Linked DNA regions of Kluyveromyces lactis. The protein of the gene in region 1 interacts with the protein of each later gene in a biochemical or structural test. Links are inferred from orthologs where the notes say so. Each region holds a gene or a part of one and is shown in the gene's direction. Other genes may lie near its edges.

What was found. The genes of interacting proteins can lie anywhere in the genome.
Region 2: the proteins of SIP5 (region 1) and TPK2 form a complex in vitro, tested with the Saccharomyces cerevisiae proteins (2 studies listed by BioGRID, with this or other methods). The link is inferred for Kluyveromyces lactis from reciprocal best matches to the Saccharomyces cerevisiae genes SIP5 and TPK2.
Region 3: the proteins of SIP5 (region 1) and PTK2 form a complex in vitro, tested with the Saccharomyces cerevisiae proteins (2 studies listed by BioGRID, with this or other methods). The link is inferred for Kluyveromyces lactis from reciprocal best matches to the Saccharomyces cerevisiae genes SIP5 and PTK2.

Annotation. Positions count from the first base shown.
Region 1 is NC_006041.1:1,967,399-1,971,997, reverse strand, and holds SIP5 (Sip5p), read left to right. Parts: upstream 1-2,253; coding exon 2,254-3,705; downstream 3,706-4,599. Other genes in the region: KLLA0_E22089g (uncharacterized protein), read left to right, coding at 1-1,006; RPP1A (ribosomal protein P1), read left to right, coding at 4,363-4,599. UniProt on the Saccharomyces cerevisiae protein: May negatively regulate the SNF1 kinase by promoting the interaction of the REG1/GLC7 phosphatase complex with the kinase. Deletion of SIP5 promotes resistance to artemisinin, which is probably an indirect effect of an action on the electron transport chain.
Region 2 is NC_006040.1:266,016-270,248, forward strand, and holds TPK2 (cAMP-dependent protein kinase catalytic subunit TPK2), read left to right. Parts: upstream 1-1,917; coding exon 1,918-3,036; downstream 3,037-4,233. Other genes in the region: serine/threonine protein kinase HRR25, read left to right, coding at 1-1,263; MNP1 (mitochondrial 54S ribosomal protein bL12m), read right to left, coding at 3,272-3,784.
Region 3 is NC_006038.1:575,593-580,920, reverse strand, and holds PTK2 (protein kinase PTK2), read left to right. Parts: upstream 1-1,831; coding exon 1,832-4,285; downstream 4,286-5,328. Other genes in the region: PEX1 (AAA family ATPase peroxin 1), read left to right, coding at 1-1,052; KLLA0_B06479g (phosphatidylinositol/phosphatidylcholine-binding protein), read left to right, coding at 4,986-5,328. UniProt on the Saccharomyces cerevisiae protein: Essential determinant for high-affinity spermidine transport. Required for the activation of the plasma membrane proton pump PMA1 via phosphorylation of 'Ser-899'.

The DNA of each region.
Region 1 (4,599 bases):
GATCATCTCTAGAGAATCTTCTTACCATGGCTTCACTTTGGGTGCCTTGTCCATCTCTTCTAATCCAAGAGCCGAACAGTTCAAGGAAATCTTGATGGACCAAAAAGAATTATGCCTAAAGATGCCTGTATGCTACCCATACAGATTCATGAAGAAAGGTGAAACCGAAGAAGAATATTGTGCCAGATTGATTCATAGCCTGGAACAATTGATCTTAGACAACGACCCAGAGACTATCTCTGTGGTTCTCGTTGAGACATTGCCAGGTTCCTCCTTAGGTACTACTCCACCACCAAAGGGATATCTATCAGGTATCCGCCGTATCTGTAATAAGTACGACGTTGTGTTCATGCTCGATGAAGTCATGTGTGGTACTGGTAGAAGCAACCCTAACGGTAAGTTGAACTGTTGGGAGAATTTCTTGACAGCTGAAGAAGCCCCAGATATCCAAAGTGTTGGTAAGACCTTGGGTTCCGGATACGTTACCATAGCCGGTGTTTTAGTTGGTCCAAAAATCAAAAAAGCATACGCCGAAGGTTCGAACTGTATGATCGGTTCCCACACTTATGCATCTCACGGTTTTAACTGTGCCGTTGCCCTTGGTGTGCAAAAGAAGATCTTGGATAACGATTTAACTAAAAACATCTTTGAAAAGGGTAACTTGATGGGTCAGAAATTGAAGAAATCTCTGCTAGCTTACGATAACATCGTCGGTGATGTCAGAGGTATTGGTGGATTCTGGTCCTTAGAATTTGTCAAGGACAGAGAAACAAAGGAACCATTCCCATACAAGCTTGACGTTGGTCACCGTTTCCAAGATGTATGTTTCGAAAATGGAATTACTGTCATGGGTATGCAAGGAAACATCGACGGTGTTTCTGGTGATATTGCTTTGTTGGCACCATCATTCATCATCACCGAAGACGATGTCTCCACCATTGTGGAAAGAGTTACCAAGTCTGTTGATGATATGACCGTTCTACTAAAGGCTGAAGGCCATTTCTGAGAAGGCTTCAGCTGTGCTAAGTATTCTAACGACTATATAACGGCACATACGTAGACGTATTGTGCCACCTCTTCTCTGTACTTGTTCTTTAAAACTCCATGTCTCATCATAACAGTTATGTGTCAAGCAAATCAGTTCCTTTTTTCCTAATATTTTTTTGACACTTTGAACCTTTAAGCTGTTTTTATTCGCGTAAATGTATATTATTAACAAAGTGATCGAAACTAAAATATCAGCAGGAAAGTCAAAAATAGAAGGCCGAGTTAAGGGTCCTACATTAACATCAACGTAGTAAGATTTTCTTAGTAACTCACAAATTCCGGCCCAGTAAGTAGATATATATATGTACGTCTTTTTTCGGCATTGTAGAGCATCTGCTGTAAGCTTATCAGCTGTCATTACTTTCTGCTCGGTCAGCATTGATGAAAACCCGGCTCATATCTCATTAACTTCGCCTCGCTCCTAATGTAAAGATATATACCTAAGAAATAATAAGGAATGATAAGTGAATCTATCCAAAAACCTGGTCCAACTATTCTTCAACCTAGTTTTCTTTCACTGTGTGAGTCACACTATTATACCAAATACCCATATGTAAGTTACATCTTTTTTCAGTGTCACTATCAAAACTCCTGTATTGTTATCCATAAACTTTAGAAATACAGTACAGTGCGTATCCCGATGTAGACAGAATTTCCGGTACTCTACCTCCAACTTAATGCCATATGCCTGCGTATCGTGACGCTTTCGACCGAAATGAATTTCGGGATAATAGCTACATACATATATACATCTCATATCTTCCACCGAACAAGGTTGGAGATTGTTAACTCCCAGTTCGTCACTCGGACTTTTTTATGCATGTTCGGGATTAGACAGGAGGCTTTCACTATGTGTTATATCAAATGTTCTGGTTTCTCTTTGTCGCTATATAAAGCAATAAATTGGTTTGAAATCAAAAATTCCATCATAAGAAAAACGTCCCTTTATTTCTATAGGAGACAAAACTCCATTATATAGGGAGAACACAGGAACGGTTTTTTTCTAACTTCACAGATACAATAGATTAACTGAGTCATATAACAAGGTGTGTTAGTTATATTGCGTATACATTGTTTCAGAAGTTACAGTATCCGGTTAGCGTTGTGTGGAAAGTTAGATATTATTTTACCGCTTATAAGTGAAGAACCTCAGAATTTAATAGGATCAGAAACAGAGGGATATATACACTAATATCTAAACCAGCCATGGGAAATGTTCCAGGTAAAATTGATAGCCCTCAAGACCCTGCAAATAGGAAGCAGCAACGGTCAGAGTCTTTAAATTTTGGATCTCAGGGCCCAAAAAATCTTAACCGGAATAGGAGGGCTACTTCCTTGGTAGGAAATTTGTTAAGTGCTAGTGGGAGAGCGAGATCAGACTCTTATAATAGTGCTAACGGTTACAACGGCAACAGTCCGAATCCGTACAAGAAGAAGTCTTTGAAGGAGAAGGAGAAGCTCAAAGAGAAGCATGCTAGACAACTTGTGGTCAAGTACAACGAAACTGTGGATGGTGGGTTTTTAGCACCTTTTGGATGTTATAATTTCGATAAGTTGGACTATGAAGCAGATATAGTTAAAAATTTAATTATAGAAAGGAGGTTGGCTCCCTTTTACACACCATTGCAAGAATTTGATCAGACTTGGACTCGAGAAGAGGTCATAAAAATTGTTGATGGGTTACCTTTGCATTGTTCATTTCAACAGGACCCAGAAGAATTTGAGGGAGTTCCGACCGGTGATTTAGCCGATGACGAATTTGACTATCTACTGGATAGTACCGCTTCGAAAAGGGAACAAAGAAGGCAAAGGTCGAAAATTTCTAAGGCAAGGTTATATTTCAAAAGAGTTGGTTGGCAGGAGAGGGCAAATGAACGGTATCTTGAGCTGAAACTTATGAACAAAAAACATACGGAAGCAAAGAACCCGGCTTTACCCAGTGATGATTTGAAATATACTTTGTACAAAAATGGAGCAGAATGTCCAATATGTTTCCTCTACTTTCCTAAGCCTTTGAATATTTCCAGATGTTGCAAGCAACCGATCTGTACTGAATGCTTCGTCCAAATCAAGCGTGCCGCACCACACTTCCCGCATGAAGAGGTAGATCCAACTCAAGATCAAGAACCGGACGAATTGAAGGATCCCAACCTTCTTGTCAGTGAACCTGCCAATTGCCCTTACTGTGCCACTGCAGAGTTTGGTGTAACATACGAACCGCGCAGGGACGTGCGGACTGGAATCAACGGGATCTACGCTTCCGAATACAAGATTGCCGAATACAAGGACCGTGAAGGCCTAGTATCGGATTCTAGCAGCAATGAAGATGACGAACTCGTAACTATAGAACAAATTCGTAGGGGCTCAATAGCAGCCGATGATCCGTCTGTGATAACATCCGATTCTATAAGACCTGACTGGGAGATCAATCTAACCAAAGAAAGATTAAGACTCGCTAGAAGATCAGCAAAAGCTACTGCAATACACATGAGTAATCAATTAATTGATCCCGAACACCCTTCTAGACACGCATCCATTTCTTCTTCAGTTGGAGGCCCTGACGGAGGGAATAGTCCTCAACGTCGTCAGAAAACATTAGAAGAACTGGATGACGAAATGCTCCAACAAGCAATCAAACTAAGTTTGCAGGATCATTAACCTAATTTGGAGCTTATTTCATGAACTGAAAGCATTTTCTCCTGCACTGCTGTCTCCTTCATTACCTTCACGACTAACGACAGATACAATCAACACATTCGCAAATTACTTCACTTTGCATGCATCTTTTAACAATCCCATAACTTTCGCATCATACCTTAAGATACAAGGTACACTCATCAGTAACACTGCGCGCGAGTATATATATGTTTATAAAACATAGAATATTATGTGGAATATAGCACCCATCTGCGGACTCACTCCGACTCAATATCAGGGATTCTCCCTTGTACATCTACGCTGACTCTGTACATCCAGCGTTTCATGCAGAAACATTATATCACATCACACGAATTATCATGCCTGACGAAACCACGCAGCTTTTCCTGAAATTTTTCACCTTTCCACGATGAGATGTGAAATATCAATAAAACTTACAGGAGTAACCATTTAACATTTCGATAGGAAAAGTATTTGTTTTACACATGATGGCATTTGTTCAATTTGAAGCTTCTTTTATGAAATATTCTTATTACTTATATCGTTTTATTATTTAGTTTCTCTTATTTTCAAAGGACCAAAGAAATAGTCTGCTTCATTACGAGCTTAATCTGATTATCTCTACACTTGCCAGAACCAGGAAATTTTACATTAGAAATGTCTGTTGAAACTGCTTTGTCTTACGCTGCTTTGATCTTGGCTGATGCTGATATCGAAGTCTCTTCTGAAAAGTTGTTGGCTTTGACTGAAGCTGCCAACGTCCCAGTTGAAGGTATCTGGGCTGATATCTTTGCTAAGGCTTTGGCTAAGCAAAACATCAAGGACTTGTTGGTCAAGTTCGAAGCTGGTGCTGGTGGTGCTGCTCCAGTTGCTACTGGTGGTGCTGCTGCCGGT
Region 2 (4,233 bases), on another chromosome or scaffold:
GGTCCGTCTTTGGAAGATTTATTTAACTATTGTCATAGGAAATTTTCTTTTAAGACCGTAATCATGCTTGCTCTGCAGATGATCTGTCGAATCCAATACATTCATGGCAGATCTTTCATTCATAGAGATATTAAACCGGACAATTTCTTGATGGGTGTCGGAAGACGTGGATCCACCGTGCATGTTATTGATTTTGGTTTATCCAAGAAGTATAGAGATTTTAGAAGTCATAACCATATCCCATACCGAGAAAATAAGAACCTTACTGGTACTGCACGTTATGCCAGTGTCAATACGCATCTTGGGATCGAACAAAGTAGACGTGACGATTTGGAGAGTTTGGGTTACGTGTTGATATATTTCTGCAAAGGGTCCTTACCATGGCAGGGGCTCAGAGCCACGACAAAAAGACAAAAATACGACCGTATCATGGAAAAGAAATTGTGCATCACCGTCGAACAACTATGTCAAGGTTTACCTATGGAATTTGTTGAATACATGAGATATTGTAGGAACCTCAGATTCGATGAAAGACCAGATTATATGTATTTGGCTCGTTTGTTCAAGGATTTGTTCATCAAGTTGGAATACCATAATGATCATTTGTTTGATTGGACCATGTTGCGTTACACAAAAGCCATGATCGACAAACAAGGAGGCGCCCAAGCATTGGAACAAAAAGATGAAAATGGTAATAAACAGGATTCATTTGATAAAGTGAAACAATTGGCTATGAAGAAATTTTCAACACATTTCCACTATTGGAAACCAGATGATACTTCTCATCCAACTGCTGAAGACATAAAACAACAGACTATCCTAAACACCCAAGTTATCTCCACGATCCCAGATGAAGTCATGAATGCTATCGACAGAAACATGGAACAGTTGAAGCACGAAGTGAACCAACAGGTGGCGTCTCAACCACAACAAGGACAACCACAAGGACAAACTCAGGGACAAGGACAAACTCAGGGACAAGGACAACCACAATCAGGTCAGCAACTAGATACACAGTTACCTCAACCTACCACGTTACTACAACAGCAAAGGGCACAAGTTCAAGGTCAACAAGAACAGATGTTACAACAGCAACAACAACAACAACAACAACAGCAGCAACAACAGCAGCAACAACAGCTTCTGCAACAGCAACTGCAAACACAACAACAAACGCATCCAAATGCAATGGCTATCACCAACCCACTACCAAACCCTAATAACACCACCAAAACTACCACTACCAATAATATCTGGCTTTAAACGCAAAAGACGAAAACAATGCGCAAACAGTTGCAAAATCTGTAGAGTAGAAAAAATCACACACGCTCATACATATATACAACTCATCATCAGTTAATCATGGGCTTCTAACCCACATTGGTTATAAATTATAACTCGGAAATCTGTTACCTAATTCACACTTATATTTCTTTCTTATATGTACTTGAATAGTGGAACATGGGGGAGAACACACACAGGGATTTTCTCACCAACATGAGCAACCATGAAAGTAAGCTGGTTACTGAATCGGCAGCTGACACAGGTTTACGGTACTCGCAGTTCACAGCTCATTGTTGCTGCTGCTGAAGTTTCCCTCCTCATCCTTGGCAAGGCCATTATCGCAATATACGAATTCCACTACTAAATATCGAAAAAGGGTTTCTGTTCCTCACATGAACAGTGAATTGTGAAAAACTAGACCAAAGGAAAACTAACAACAAAAGGAGAGTCAACTGTGGTGAGAAAAAGAGAGCAATCTAGGGCGCATTGAGTCTTGAAAAAGTGCAATATCCATATAAGACTATCAGTCCAAAGCTATAATTAAGGCAAAAACTGGTTTGTCCCATTTTGTACTGTTTATTCATTAGAGTAAACTAGGGGATTTTGACCCCAAGGGAAAAGGAAAACAAGAGGATGGAATATCAGCCTGTGAATTTACAACAGATGAATACTGCTCCAGCTCCTGCAACCAATCCTGTGAATCCGGCGGATGTGACCGTGGGTTCACAATCTACCGATTATTTATTGGCTCAGCAGAAGGAATCGTTGTTGCCTCAAAGGTCTACTGTGTCTAAGGGGAAATATACGTTGCATGATTTTCAAATCATGCGTACATTGGGAACAGGGTCATTCGGTAGAGTGCATCTCGTGAGGAGTGTGCACAATGGACGTTACTATGCCATCAAAGTTTTGAAAAAACATCAAATCATTCGAATGAAGCAAATTGAGCATACGAATGATGAAAGACGGATGTTAAAGCTGGTTGAACATCCTTTCTTAATTCGGATGTGGGGTACGTTCCAGGATTCTCGTAATCTATTCATGGTTATGGATTATATCGAAGGTGGTGAATTGTTCTCGTTGCTCAGAAAATCCCAACGATTCCCCAACCCTGTGGCTAAGTTTTATGCAGCAGAGGTGACTTTAGCTTTGGAATACTTACATTCTCATAACATAATATACCGTGACTTGAAGCCAGAAAACATTCTATTGGATAGGAATGGGCATATCAAGATAACGGATTTTGGGTTCGCCAAAGAGGTAATCACAGTGACGTGGACGTTATGTGGTACCCCTGATTACATTGCTCCTGAAGTAATTACAACGAAACCATATAACAAGTCTGTTGACTGGTGGTCTCTTGGAATCTTAATCTTCGAAATGCTCGCTGGTTATACTCCATTTTATGATGTTACGCCAATGAAGACCTATGAGAAAATCTTAGCTGGTGAAGTCGTTTATCCACCATTTTTCCACCCTGATGTTGTGGATCTATTAGGTAAGTTGATCACTGCAGATTTGACCCGTAGATTAGGTAACTTACAAAGCGGGCCAGATGATATCAAATCGCATCCATGGTTTGCGGAAGTTATATGGGAAAAGCTTGTGGCAAAGGACATCGAGACGCCGTACGAGCCACCAATCGCTGTCGGTGTCGGTGATTCCTCTTTGTTCGACCAATATCCGGAAGAGCAACTGGACTATGGCGTTCAGGGCGAAGATCCATACGGCCAATACTTTTTAGATTTCTAACGAAATCTTCAAAGAAAAACATAACTCATAATCGATTCATTTTTGAACGGATCGTTCGTGAAACTACCTCTTCTTTTTACTTTGTTATGTCGGTCGGATTGCGTTTATATATATATATCTTAATCTTAAGAGTTTATATTAATATATTTTTGGTTATTATTATGTACAGGAAAATGAGAAGAGAACTCGTTTTGACATGGGGAATTTACATGCGTGAGGTGTTCGACGTATCTGTCTATTCCAAGACAATCTTGGCACCTAGCCCTTCCAATGCAGCCTTAACCTTGTCAGCGTCTTCCTTAGCGACGTTTTCCTTCAAAACCTTTGGAGCACTTTCCACAAACTTCTTAGCTTCAACCAATGACAAACCTAACAAGTTCTTAACTTCTTTGATGATCTTAGGCTTAGACTTGGCATCAAACGATTCTAACTTGATGGAGAAAATAGTCTTCTCTTCAACGACTTCTTCTTCCTTGGCTTCTTCAGCTGGAGCAGCTGGGGCAGCTGAACCAGCACCAGCTGCTGGGAACGAAATATCTGGGATGTTCAATTGAGTCTTCAATTCTTGAATCAAAGCAGAAGTTTCCAATAAAGTCAATTTGGAGATATCTTGAACGATTTGAGAAATCTTTGGATCAACCGCAGCAGCTGGAGTAGATGTACCAGCAGTCGATTGATAACGAACCAAACCTAATCTACAACTGTTCCTTGCAAAAACGCCGGATGATCTTACCACTTGACGCAACATTTTTTCTTTTATATTATTCCCAAACCCACCTGTGATAAAAACTGCTGTTCTCGGTTAGATTCAAGATGGAGAACTAATCGTGAATGTCAACAGTACAACTCCACAATCTGTTTAACCTGTTTCGATTGTTCAATGGAATTGTCTTTAGGTTTAAAGCTTTTTTCCCAAAATTTTTCAGCTAACAGATGATAATCGTACGGAGTGATAGATGCTGCTAACACTTTTCGACATTTGAAAAGCTTCGATTGAGAACTAGGAAAGGATCCAGAATTTGAGCCATGGTTTTGATAGGAATAAGAGTGTATAAGAAGTGACTCTGGTTTAAGTGGGGTCAAAGTTGTTTGTTTTGTGGTTTAAAAGCAACATATTGTTGTGTACTTGTAGTTTTTAAGAGAAAAACGGTTAATTTTTAGTGGTTTCACTGGATTGAAATACTCCAAGAACCGGAT
Region 3 (5,328 bases), on another chromosome or scaffold:
GACTCACCAACGCGAAAAGACTACTATTAGAGACTTTAGAATGGCCCACGAAATACGCACCGATTTTTGCCAGTTCCCCACTAAGGTTGAGGTCAGGTATACTGTTGTACGGGTACCCCGGCTGTGGTAAGACAATGTTGGCCAGTGCAGTGGCCCAACAGTGCGGGCTAAATTTCATCAGCGTCAAGGGTCCAGAAATCTTGAACAAGTACATCGGTGCATCAGAACAAAGCGTACGAGATCTTTTTGATAGAGCTCAGGCTGCGAAACCGTGTATCCTCTTTTTTGATGAGTTCGATTCCATTGCACCAAAGAGAGGTCACGACTCTACCGGGGTTACTGACCGTGTGGTGAACCAAATGTTGACCCAAATGGACGGTGCTGAGGGGCTCGATGGAGTGTACGTGCTAGCGGCCACTAGCAGACCGGACCTTATCGATTCTGCATTGCTAAGACCGGGCCGTCTAGACAAGAGTGTGATATGTGACATCCCAGATGTCACAGAAAGAGAGGATATATTACGCGCTGTAACGTTGAAGATGGACACGGAGGATGATTTGGATCTACATGAGATAGCAATAAGAACTGAAGGGTTCACCGGTGCTGATTTGCAAGGTATGAGTTACAATGCATATTTGAAAGCAGTACACAGGTCTTTAGACGCGGAAACACAAGAGGATCGCCAGCCTTCAGCCATGCAAGAACAACAACAACAACAACAACAACAACAACAACAACAACAACAACAACAACAACTAGACTACATCTCACTAGGCGATAAACCCGTTACCAAGGAAACTATGGACAGAATCACAGAACTACTCGAAAACGCTACGACGTTGAATGGCAATTCCAAATCGGTACAATCCGTGAAACCAACCATATCCACGCACGACATGCTCGACGCATGTCAAGAAGCGAAACCCAGCATTTCGACTCATGAATTACAAAAACTAAGCCATATATACCAGAAATTCATCGGAGATAGAGAGGGAAAGATGCCCTCAGGAGAAGCCTCCCAAGAGGTCGGAGGAAGAACTACATTGGCATAGCAGAAGACATTCTTCACAGACATTCCATACACATGGTACTGGCACCACCACATGTATAACCACATGCGCCAACACATGCATGTGCTAGTAGTGTACACTGTTACCCTGACTCTTCCTCATTTTCCCTCCCTGATTTTCTCACTATACCCCAGAGAAGCGGAAAAAGCATAGATATAGCACAGTGAGAATGATAATACGGCAATGTCTGGCGACATATGGCGAAATTGATATATATATAATATGCATAGTAGATAGGACAGATAGGACAGAGATAGTCAATATGTATACAATAACGTGTATATTGGGACAATATTCGGGCCCTGACAACCCGAGCAGGTGCCTGACTTGAAATACGAAGAAGCCTTCTGCATAACTGAAGCTGCTGACTCACACATACTCTCCCTCTCACTCACCCTACATTTTCCCGCCGCATCCGCCTTGTCTCTTTCCTGACTGAGTCGAGCTGCTAATCTCACTAATCTCAATTGACGCTTTAAATTCTCCTCTCCACCCCCCTCTCATTCCAATATTTAATCTCGGTTTCTCTTCTTTCTTCATTTCCATTTTCTTTTTCATTTTACTTTTTGATTATCGATTTTTGATTTTTTTGATTTTTTTTTGTTTTCGAATTAGTATTACAGAGAGTGGCATATTGAGAATACAGAATTTATCGAACGTTTTAAAATAGAGCGAAAAAGACTAAGGGAAAAAGGTTATAAATCTTTTGGTCTTCAATACAAGAGGAAAAGTGACACAGCGAGACAGTGAGACAGTGAGCTATGACGCTATCCAGTTCCAGGTCTATGATACCGGACGATATCAAGTCTTCTACACCTTCGTCGGAAAAAGTCGCTATGGCCAAGTTGTTGCATAAGAAGGAGACAACTCCTGGTGCCAAGGCAGTTACGTCATCTGACGGAAATGGGAATGGAGTTCCTATCCGTTCTTCATCTGTGCGATCCTTAAGAAGATCGCCAATTGGCGATGCTCCTGCTGCAGCAGGAGCAGGAGCAGGGACGACTCCGTCGTCCTCGCATTCAAAGAACCCTTTGAAGAAGATTTTTGGACGGTCCAAGTCCCATCATGTGGAACAGGGCAAACAGTTGGGGTCTAATCCGTTCTTATCGGGCGGGGAGTTGAGACCTCGGATGTCCCCCAAATTGGAGAGTAAGTCTCGTACTAGAGGGGCGTCTCTGTTGCATAAGGATAGGGAAAAGGATCGTGATATGAATTCGAATATGCACGTTATAAAGTCGTCTTCTGCTATTCCCAGTCTTGCGTCGCATAATACGAACCCTTTCCTGAATTCCGCTAACGGAAGGATACCTCTTGAATCCCTTGACGTGCACTCGCGTCCTCCAACGGTGTCACAGGCGTATCATTCGCCAAGTTCTGCGTCTGCGACGCCGTCTTCTACGTCGTTGGGTTTCTATCAGACCGAGGGTGATGCCAAAGGTGAAAACATTCTACCGTTGCCCTTGAAGAATCCGAACGACTTTTTGCCTGAATCCATGCAACAGCCTAGTGTAATGTTGACGGATAACTTTGCATTCGCTGATTCTGGTAGGAAAACGTTGGGTGAAGGTGGTTCCTCCCAGGTGATGACGGTTCATTCGATATATCGCAAGAAACAAGTTTACGCATTGAAAAGGTTCAAATTGTTTAAAGACGAGACGCCTGATCATTTCTACCACCGTTGTATCACGGAATTCATGATCGCCAAGAAAGTGAGTAACCATGTCAACATTATCAAGACTTTCTATATCATGAAGACCCCAAGTGTCTCCAATGGTCCAAAGAGAAGCTGGGCTTTCTTGATGCAGCAGTGCGTACAAGACATGTTCCATTATACGACGTTATCAGGGTGGGCTACAAAGCCGCTCGATGAGAAATGGTGTTGCTTCAAACAGATTGCAAGAGGTATCAGACATATGCATTCATTAGGTATCGCTCACAGAGATATTAAGTTGGAAAACGTCCTAGTGACAGACTACGGTGCCCTAAAATTAACGGATTTCGGTATCTCCACGTACGGTATCAAGGACCCTGAAGATCCTACCAGTGAAAGAATTAAGATTAGAGGATATTGTGGTTCTCCACCACATGTGCCACCAGAAGTTATGATTCTAAGTGAAAAGAAGAAGAAGGTTATACCGGTGCCCAAGGATAAAGAAGAATACGATCCGTTCAAGATGGATACTTGGGCCCTAGGTATATTGATGTTCAACCTTGTTTGTCCGTTTGCTTTGTTCGCCGAAGCACACAAGGATGATTCCAAATATAGACATTACATTGCATTTTACGAGCAATTCAACAAACATAGCCCACATTTTAGGAAACCTGGTGTTTATAGATCAGGCCCAGGTGCAGAACATCCGGAATTCAGCAAATTAGGAAGTGTAGAGGCAAGCAGAGTGTGTCTACGGTTATTGGATCCTGATGCTTCTACAAGATATACTATAGATGATCTGTTCAACGACCCTTGGATGGCTAAAATTGAATCATGTTTCGAAGAATATGAAGAAGAACCAATCAAGGTGCCGGAATTGAGAAAAGCTACTACAGACGATGATCCAATTCCACACGATATCCCATCTACTGGATCCTCTTTCAACGAAGAAAATTCAGGTTTATCACATTCTACCAACCCATTTTTGGAATCTAACTTGAAGAGCCCTAAGATCAAATCCAAGTCCATGATATTCATTGCTGAAGAAGAGGCCAACAGACGTAGTGCGTCAAGTTCCGCTAACGGATCTCCAAAATTCAATGCTTCTGCCGAACAATCAGTTGCTCCTACTTTACCCACTCTAGACGAGGAAAAGACGAAGGATGTTGACGATGACGAGAAGGGGATATCCTCTCCCAGTATTGGAACACAAGAACATCCAATTCCTGTAAGTGCAATGGAACCAGGACATATACTTAATTCAGTAGCAGAGGGGAAAGAACCAGAAGAAGAAGAATCTAGAAAGCCTAAAGAGCTGGAAGAAAAACTCAGTTCGCTGTCGCTTAATTCAATGGTCCCTGATGACTCTACGAATACCAATGGCTCAAACTCAATTTTGAAATCGAATTCTTCCGCTTCTATTTCCAGGAGCTCGTCCGTGGCGTCCAGGAACAGCGGTTCTGCGTTAGCGAATTCTGCCACTCTTGCAGCACGGAAGAGAAAGAAACAAATTGTCCATCACCACAATGAATGCGGTGGTAAATCGATATTCAGTATCAAATAAATAGCAACAGATGACAGTATAACACCAACGAATTTGCAACGAATAGATAATTCAATGGTTCAGGCATCTCAGGTACATTTTTTTACGTTATTGACTCTACTTCACATTTTATTCAAACAGTTTTCGAGAAACGACTTTATTACTAAAACATACTTTATTATAAAATTCAAGACACATATATACATATAAACTTCAACGTGTAGCATTAGCAACAACCGACTTATACAATGAACATTCTGCATGGTCTTGTCATCGATCACCTGACGCTTTGCTCTTACGGTATGCTACGCATTTGCTTTCACCAAAATAGTTACCCTGCATTTGTTGGCGGTGGCTTAAGGTTTAAACTGCAGAAAACGCAGATACAAAACGCAGGAATATAAACAATTTTTAACCATTAAGAAATGCGTGGAAAATGTGGTAAAGGTTACCTTTCTAATTGACAGTTTCCTCTTTCGTTGTTACTAGTTCATAATATTGTTTCTGAGTGACTTCATTTTAGATATCTATAGTTTTTGCATCTATACAGGTAATATTTTTGAGAAGCAAACTTCAAATTCCCATTTTCAACAGTTGGATTATTATTAGCACACTTGTTTAAGAAGGTGTCTCGTTCCTTGATTGATCTAAATTCATACCATTGCATTTAGCTAAACCAAAAGTTGACCCCACGCCGGAAGTTAGATAGAGCCCTGTCATCATGGTAAGTGAACAAGAAATTTTAGAATCATACCCCCAGGTTTGTCCTAGTGGATCATTGTCTGGAACACCAGGCAATCTTGATTCAGAACAAGAAGCCAAGTTGAAGGAATTTAGAGAATTGTTAGAATCATTGGGATATAAGGAAAGACTTGATGACTCGACGTTGTTGCGTTTCCTAAGGGCTCGTAAGTTCGATCTAGAGGCTTCCAAGATCATGTACGAGAACTGTGAGAAATGGAGAAAAGAGTTTGGTGTTGACACCATCTTCGAAGATTTCCATTACGAAGAGAAACCGCTTGTCGCTAAATACTACCCACAATACTATCACAAGACCGACAACG